Linked DNA regions of Mus musculus. The protein of the gene in region 1 purifies or fractionates together with the protein of each later gene. This does not show direct contact. Links are inferred from orthologs where the notes say so. Each region holds a gene or a part of one and is shown in the gene's direction. Other genes may lie near its edges.

Region 1 (3,986 bases):
TTAAAAATTAATAAAATGAGCATTAAGTCCATTGTCTCTCATTTGTTTCTCATTGAATGAAAATCAGGACAATGTTGCGGTAATTTCTCACCCCAATAAGCCCGTATAAAAAACACACAACTCAGTTATAGTTATAAGCTATATGCCTAGATTGGGCAGATCTATCACTGTACTAATCTAGTTGCCAACTATGAGACTTCTTGCTACTTGCGGCTTCTCCAGGCCATGTCTCTCTCCTCCCTCTCTGAGACTGGGAAGAAGGCCCAGTGAGATCACCTGAGTATGCGCTCTGCTCATTGTAGAGGACAGCTCCTCTTGATGAAGCAGAATAAACATCAAAATACAAATGGCGCCAGGGCAACCCACAACAGGACAAGAATGCTCCTAAGTATGGGTGAGAAGGATTTTACTGTAGACATGAAGAAGAGTACAGCCAGAGGCATCTGGAAGAGTTCAGACTGAATATAACCAGCAAAATAGATGGGGCCACGAGAGGAGAGGTGGGGAGTGGGGCGGGGGCGAGCTAAGAAGAGAAGACTTGGAGAGAGGGTTCCAAGAGGACCCCGAGGGTGCTTGGGAATAAAGAGGGGAGTGGCCAAAATGGCTGAGTTATGAGAATCTGAAGTGGGCAAAGCTCGGGGGCTAGAGAGATTCGGTGTAGGGGCGGGGTATGCCAGGCAGGCAGGATGACTCTGTAAGAGGTTGTTGTGAGAAGGGCCTGAAGGAACCTAGAAGCTAGCATAGACCTCGATATGCCAATAGACGCCACCAAAGGCATAGATTAATGGAAGAGTTCTATGTCCCTTCTGCCAAAGACGAGGAGAATGACCACTTTTAGCAAGTAAAAACGATTTTCTTAAGTCCCTGAGAGAATGATGGGTTTTGTCTAAAAGCCCGAGTTTGGGAAAAGGAAATTTCTTGCACGTTCCCACCCGCCGCCCCCTTTTTTTCCCCAGGTAGAGTGAAGCTTTTAGAACCTTCTGCCTCTTACAGTGAGTGAAAGAACAAAGGTGGATAAGCGGGTGTCTGAATTTCACCCCATCCTTTTCATTTTCATTTACTAACCTACATACACTAGAGCGCCAAGAGCCGCTACGGGTAGCGGCCCGGTACAGAGAGACCCGTCAGCCGGGACCTGCTGTCTGCTTGGCAACCGGTGACATCTCAGCGTCGCGCTCCTGACGTCATAGATGGGCGCCATACTTAAAGAGAGTGCGGGAAGCTGCGACTGCAGCTGAGCTCTGTGACAGCCATGGAACTAACGCAGAAAGAGCGGGAACTGAGTCGCTGGGCTGCTGAAGAGATGGAGGTGCCCCTAGCAGCTCGCCCCCGGGAGTCGACGCTGCGTAGGTGAGGCTGCTTCTGGAGTAAGGTCTCCCCATCCTGGAATTAGCCTCGAGGAGTAAGATCACCGCCCTGTTAGACCCCCGGGGCCCAGGTGTAGAGAACGCGACCCCCAGAAACACAGCTTGATCATAGACGCTGTAATAACAAGAGGTTTTTAATCCGACGCACATGAGGTTGCTCAGCCTCGCAGGGAGAGTCAACCCCGATTGTCTAAATACAGCTAATTTATACTTTTTGTGAAAGGGCTCACACAGCTATTTTATTATTGGCTAATAAAGCAACAGTATAATTTTAATTTGGCAGAAAACTTTGTCAGCAATCAGCAAGGTCAAAGCAGCTTGTAGTTTTCCTCAGAATTCAGGCTGAGGAGGGCTAGGGAGGTTTTCTCAAGGATGGTCATTTCTGGCAGCTGTGGTCTTTATGACCACTAGTCTGTCCCTGCAGATAGGGAAGGGGCCGGGTGGTCTTGAATTTGTTTACACTGGCAGGGAAAGAGAAGAATCTTTCTTTCTTTCTTTTTTTTTTTTTTTTTTTTTTTTTTTTTTGAGTTTCTCAAGACAGGGTTTCTCTGTGTATCCCTGGCTGTCCTGGAACTCACTCTGTAGATCAGGCTGGCCTAGAACTCAGAAATCCACCTGCTTCTGCCTCCCAAGTGCTGGGATTAAAGACATGCGCCACCACTGCCTGGAGAAAGGGAAGATTCTTTAAGCAGCAGGAGACAGCTGAAGATAGAGAGTGGCTGCTGCAGACAGCTTGCAGCAGGAGACAGAGATAGGGGAAGCAAGCTCTGCAAATAACTTTGGTATACATTAATTAAGCTAAAAACTAAGCCGGGCGTGGTGACGCACCCCTTTAATCCTAGCACTTGATAGGCAGAGGCAGGTGAATTTCTGAGTTCGGCTACACAGAGAAACCCTGTCTTGAAAAGACAAAAACAAAACAAAACAAAATATTAAGCTAAAAACTATATTTCTTCCCAGCACTCGGGAGGCAGAGGCAGGCGGATTTCTGAGTTCGAGGCCAGCCTGGTCTACAAAGTGAGTTCCAGGACAGCCAGGGCTATACAGAGAAACCCTGTCTCAAAAAACCAAAAAAACAAAACAAAACTATTATTTCTTTATCCCTCATCGAGAATGAGACAGATCTGCAGAATAAGGGGGTTCCTACAGCACCTCACCTACCCACTCTTACCCTAATCAAAGGTGACACTAGGCAGTTGGCAGTGGCTGTTCTATTGGGGATCAAATCTGCAGAAACCAGTAGCATATGACCCTGTTATGAAAGACCATTTCCTGGGGTGGAAACCTCTTACACCCACCTCTGAAAGTGACTACAACTAAACCTCTCCTAGAAGAAATAGAACCTGTCATGGAATAAGAATACCCTCAGACTTAGGGAGAAGGCCACCCTCTCAGTGACAACCCCCAGGCCCACCCACCGAAGTGAGAAATCTTGGAACTTTCCACCACCATAACTGTGGAGACAGTGGAGGGTCCTCCTCTCCTCCTGGGCAATGCTCCAGTCATACTCTATGCTGTATCCCTTCAGGCTGTGTCTGAGTCAGGGCGCTGACATCTGGGCCTACATTGTGCAGCATGTGCGTAGTCAGAGGTAAGCCAAACCTAGTGCAGGGGAGGGGGTCAGAGAGTGGGAAAGGCACAGGGAAGGCCCACAGCAACTCCTCTCCCTTCATCTCTCCAATGCAGGAATATCAAGAAGATCCAGGGAAACCTCCTCTGGTAACTGCTTCTTAAATTCATTGATTCCTATCTTCACCAGTTTTGTCTAGCCTTGTCCATAACCAAGGCCTCTACTTCCTGCCTTCTCCCCTGGAAGCCCCAGCCATCTCCTAACTCTATTCTCTTTTCTCTAGGCATGCCTATCAGGACAATCCAAAGGTAAGAAGCCTGTGTGGTTAATATTCTCCCTCAACCAATAGTCAGCTTGCAAATATTCTGCTCTAGGCCCTGGAGGTGATGGGTCTGTCAGGAACACCATGTTACAAAACAACCCAGATCTTTGCGCTCCCAGGGATTGCGATCCAGGGTGAGCCAGGCACGAGATGGGGAGCAGTGGTGTATGGACATGGGGCATTGGTGTTGGAGAGAGGAAGGTCTTGAGTCCTATAGTCTCAGCACTCAGGATGAAGCAGAAGGGTCAACATGAGTGTAAGGCCAGCCTGGGCTACATAGTGAGACATGGTCAAAAGTAGACACAGTAAACAAAACTGCTAAAAGGAGAAGGATGAGTTTGTCAGAGCTGCTAAGGAATTCAAGGAAGAGGTCAAGACTAGGAGGGGGACCTACAATTAAGAGCATTCGCTGCTCTTGAAGAGGACTTATCCCAGCATCCAGAGCAGATGTCTAACAGCAGACTGTGATTTCAGTTCTAGGAGATCTAACACCTTCTGGCCTCCACTGGTACCTGTATGCATGTGGTACACCGACATACATTTTTTAAAAAAATGGAGGCTGAGTATGTTGGTACTTGCCTGTTATCCCAGCACGTGGATGCTGAAGAAGACTGTGAATTTAAAGGCAGTCTGAGCTAGTTTACACACCAAAACCCTATCTCAATAAAAATAAAAAATAATTTTAAAAAAGCATCTGACAGAGATGTAGGAGTCACCCCACAGACAG
Region 2 (4,264 bases), on another chromosome or scaffold:
GTAATGCTCCCAGCTGATTCCCAGAGAGGCTCAGCGTCTTCAGGGCAGACAACTGCCCAAAGGTAGATGGTAGCTCTCTCAGGTGATTGTTGTTGAGACTTAGTGTCTCTAGTTTTTTCAGATTGCATAATTCATCAGGTAGAACAGCTGGTGAAGAAGAAATTAAAAAACAAATCCGATAGAATTAATGACATTTATAAAAAGACAGTATGGTAGCCTGCTTCATCTTGTTTTTGAGACAGGATCTCATTAAGTTGTCTAGGATAGCCTTGAAATTAAGATCTTTCTGCCTCAACCTCTGAGTAGCTGGGGCTACTGTAGGTCTAAGTCACCAGGTCTGGCTTCTTACATAGAATTCTCACAGGTCATGTTTAGGTTTCACAAACTGTTTGGGAGGTTAAGAAGCCATCAAAATGCAGAAAATTGTGTATGTGTGTAAGGGGTTCCTTTTGCTTAGCTGTATTCTAAAAACGATCTGAGGGAGTTTAAAAGATCCTCCCATTCCACCCTGCCCCGAAATTAGATAACTGTTTATATCGATTCCCAAAGGTCTTCCAGGTCCAAATTAACCTAGTAATAATCATTATACCACCCAAAGAGGCTTTTATATTTAATTACAAGAGATTAAAGCTTCAATACTCTAACATTCTGCATCCCCTAAAATGATTTCATAACAAAAATCATCTAACAGGAAAAACACCCTTCATAACTGCTGATTACTAGCAAAAGCTGCCCAGACACAAATTCCATACTCAGTTTGTTGTTGTTGAGGGAGAGGCTCTTTAGCAGAGTGAACTTTCCTATTATCAGAGGCGGTAGGCTGTCAATCTTGTTGTTGGATAAATCGATGGTCCTAAGATTGCTTGTCAGCTTCTGCAACTCTGAGGGGAACTGGAGAAAGGAGCTCACAGTTTGGAAAAATCCTGCACCAATAGTCTTCGCCACCCCGCCAACCCTAGCCCTTTTAGTTTCTTGGTCCGGTCCCCTCAGGTCTCACCTCGGTCAGACCACGGTCTTTAAGCTGAAAGACACCAGTTTTCTGCGCTGTTTCCACATGAGCACGGAGAGCACTGTTACCCATCCTAGCGCCACGGCTCAGTTCCCTGCAGGAAAAGAAGCATAGCTGTCACCGCCTAGTCTAGACATACAGTCGTCGCTAAATCTCCCGTTTGGGTCTCCTGTCCCAATTGTCACCTTCTGCCTATCCCTACTTCCCTGGGGCCAGCCCAAGAGTGGCAAGGAGAAAACAGGCGAGCAGGCAGCGCTACCACAAGGTCCTGATGCTTTGGCAGCAGAGCTAAGGGCCAGGGAGCCTCCGATAGCTGCTGCCGGAACAGGGAGCTTGAGACTCGCCTCCTACCGCTCAGTGCAAAGAAGACTCCGCCAGGGAACACCGGGGACCCGCGCTCGCCTGAGACGCGCTCCCAGGGCTTCCGCCCGGGCAGGAACGCCCTGTGACATCATCAAACCGCGCGCCTGTTCGCGGTGTTGCCCCTCACTCCTCGCGCCAGTTCCAGAGGTGTGCGGAAGCCATGGCGGCCGCCAACCCGTGGGACCCAGCGTCCTCGCAGACTGCAGCTGGGTTACTGCTAAACCACTTGGTAGCTTCGGGCATAGTCACTAAGGTACGTGGGGGCGGCGATGGCGTCATCAAGGTGGCGACAGAATTCTGCTGTGAGGTGGTGGTCCTGGTTATGCGGGCGTGAGTGAGCCAGCTGAGGACTGTGACCATACTCCCGTGGGTTCTTCGAGTGTGAGGGACTGAGTGGCTGGTGCACTGAGTGACTGAGCACTCTGTTTTGAGTGCCTGCGGGTTATCCCAGGACGGTTTGTGGGAGATGGAACAGCGCTCCACTTTTTTTTTCTTCCAGTGACACTACCTCTAGAACAAGTGTTCCTAAGGCTGCGACCCTTTAATACAGTTCTTCTGTAGGACCCCCGATATGGGGACTCCTACTCTAGTCCAGGGATAGGGTGCACCCACGAACACACAAGAATCCTTCTTGTTGCAATACACACGAGGCTTTATTGGCAGAGCTCTGGGCCGACACGTACCTCACACAGGAGGCAGGGGAGTCGACCCCGAGTCTCCAGAGCTAGGGGTTTTTGTAAAAGAAAAAGGGATAGGGATGCGAGGAATTTTAACAAAGGTATGGGATTGGGTCATTCAAACATTAACAGTAAGATTACATGTCAGCCAAAGGGCATCCGGACCTTGTTCCTGTGGGCTGGGGGCTTAACTTTGTTCTCATAGCAACCAGGTGATGTATGAAGCAATGCTGGGCCTCCAAGAAAAGGCCAAAATCTTTCACAGCGTAATGCCATCACAGTTCACCCTTATTATTTTAGCACTATTTATTTAGAGACCGAGTCTTGCTGTGTAGCCCTAGATGGTCTGTAACTCACTATCCCTGGCATTACAGGTGTGTACCGCCATGCCTGGCTGTTAACTCACTTTATAAGATGATATGGCAAAGAGGAGAGGGTAATGGGATCTAATTCTTCCAGCTTGCTGAGAGATACTGGAAGATTTTTTAGTCTTTTTAGGTGTTTCCTTTTTTTTAATGGAGAGGTGTCCTCACTCTATCCTAGGCTAGCCTTGAACACTGAGCCATCTTCCTGCTTCCAGCTCCTAAGACTCCCAAGTCTCTCGTGTCAACCATATGGAGGGCTGAATTTAGATCCCTAACGCCCAAGTAAAAGCAGTATGTGATGGTGCGTGTCCTAGAGCTAGGGGCCAGATACAGGTGGGGCTTGCTGGCTAGCTAGTCTAACCCAATCTATGTTACTATTGGGGTCTGGGCTAGAAAGATTTAGGTTCCTGGCCTCTTATCTAAAGAATTGAAAACAGCTTTATTCTGAGGGAAGGAATAACACAGAATATAGAGAGATATAGCATCAAGATTGAAAGCAGAACACTACAAAGGTCCCAGGTTATAGCCTGAGCTCTAAAGGAAGGAATTGTTTACATACAGGCATGGTTTGAGTGGTTCTCTACTCTTTTTTTTTTTAAGATATATTTATTTTGTAAATGATTATTATATATATATGAATGTATGTGTATCATGTGCATGCCTGTTGCCCATGGAGGTCAGAAGAAAGCATTGGATCCCCATGGAACTGGAGTAAGCCCCCATGTGGTTGCTGGGAATTGAACCTGGGTCCTCTGCAAGAACAACAAATGCTCTTAAATGCCAAGCCAGCTTTCTTTCCAGTCCTGTTTCTCTACTTTGGTTGATAGATTAGGTCAAACATTCTTTTCTTCTAGTGTCCATGTTCCTTCCTATAGCATCTGATTTTAATCATATGTATACTGTAGTGCTTTGAGTGAAAATGGCCTCTATAGACTCATATATTTGAATACCTAGTACCCATTTGATGGAAGGATTTCACCTGTTTGGGAAATATTAGGAAATGTGGTCTTGGTGGAGGATGTTTGTCTTTGAGCGTGGGCTTGGAGGCTCTTTTGGCCTCATGCTTATCTCTCAACACGTAAGTTCTCAGCTTCTTCTCCCATGCTATTTCTGTCTGCAACCATGCTGTCTGTCAAGATAGTCATAGACTCATAGACTCTTAACTTATGGAAGCATGAGCCCAAAAATTAAATGCTTATGGAGGTCAGGTGATTAATGGAGTTTTGGCTGAAGTCCAACTCACTGTTAGGTCCATTGAGTTCCCAAACTTATCCTGTAGTTATTTCCCCAGTTCCAGAATGTATATTTGGGATAAATATACTTAGAAGTCGGCAGAATTCCCATATTGGTTTCCTGACTTGTGGAGTGAGGGCTATTATGTTTTGAAAGGCCAAATGGAAGACATCGAAGTTGCCTCTACCAGGAAAAATAGTGAATCAAAGACAGTATTACATCCTAGGAGGAATTGCAGAAATTAGCAACACAACCAAGGACCTAAAAGATGCAGGGGTGGTTGTTTACAACACATTTCCTTTTAACTATCCTATCTGGCCAGTACAGAGGACAGATGGATCATGGAGAGTGACACTATGACCATCAAAAATTTAATCCAGCTGGGCACTGGTGGGACATCCCTTTAATATCAGCACACAGATATGCAAAACATTCTCTCTCCCTCTCTCTCTCTCTCTGCATATGTGTGTATCTGTCTGTCTGTCTGTCTGTCTGTCTTGTGCACACACACACATACACACAAACATGGTGTTATGCTGTTCACTTAGAAAATAGAGGTGTGAAGGTTAGAAGTTGTAGGACATCCTTGGCTGTACAGCAAGCTCAAGGCTAGCTTG

Evidence for each region.
Region 2: the proteins of Haus5 (region 1) and Haus2 purify together in Homo sapiens (affinity purification with mass spectrometry; 5 studies listed by BioGRID and IntAct, with this or other methods). This does not show direct contact. The link is inferred for Mus musculus from reciprocal best matches to the Homo sapiens genes HAUS5 and HAUS2.

What each region holds. Positions count from the first base shown.
Region 1 is NC_000073.6:30,662,195-30,666,180, reverse strand, and holds the start of Haus5 (HAUS augmin-like complex subunit 5), read left to right. Parts: upstream 1-1,186; 5' UTR 1,187-1,252; coding exon 1,253-1,350; intron 1,351-2,895; coding exon 2,896-2,958; intron 2,959-3,053; coding exon 3,054-3,086; intron 3,087-3,220; coding exon 3,221-3,245; intron 3,246-3,986.
Region 2 is NC_000068.7:120,607,921-120,612,184, forward strand, and holds the start of Haus2 (HAUS augmin-like complex subunit 2), read left to right. Parts: upstream 1-1,464; 5' UTR 1,465-1,532; coding exon 1,533-1,625; intron 1,626-1,674; exon of another isoform or gene 1,675-1,738; intron 1,739-4,264. Other genes in the region: Lrrc57 (leucine-rich repeat-containing protein 57), read right to left, coding at 1-147, 753-891, 998-1,103, 1,361-1,464.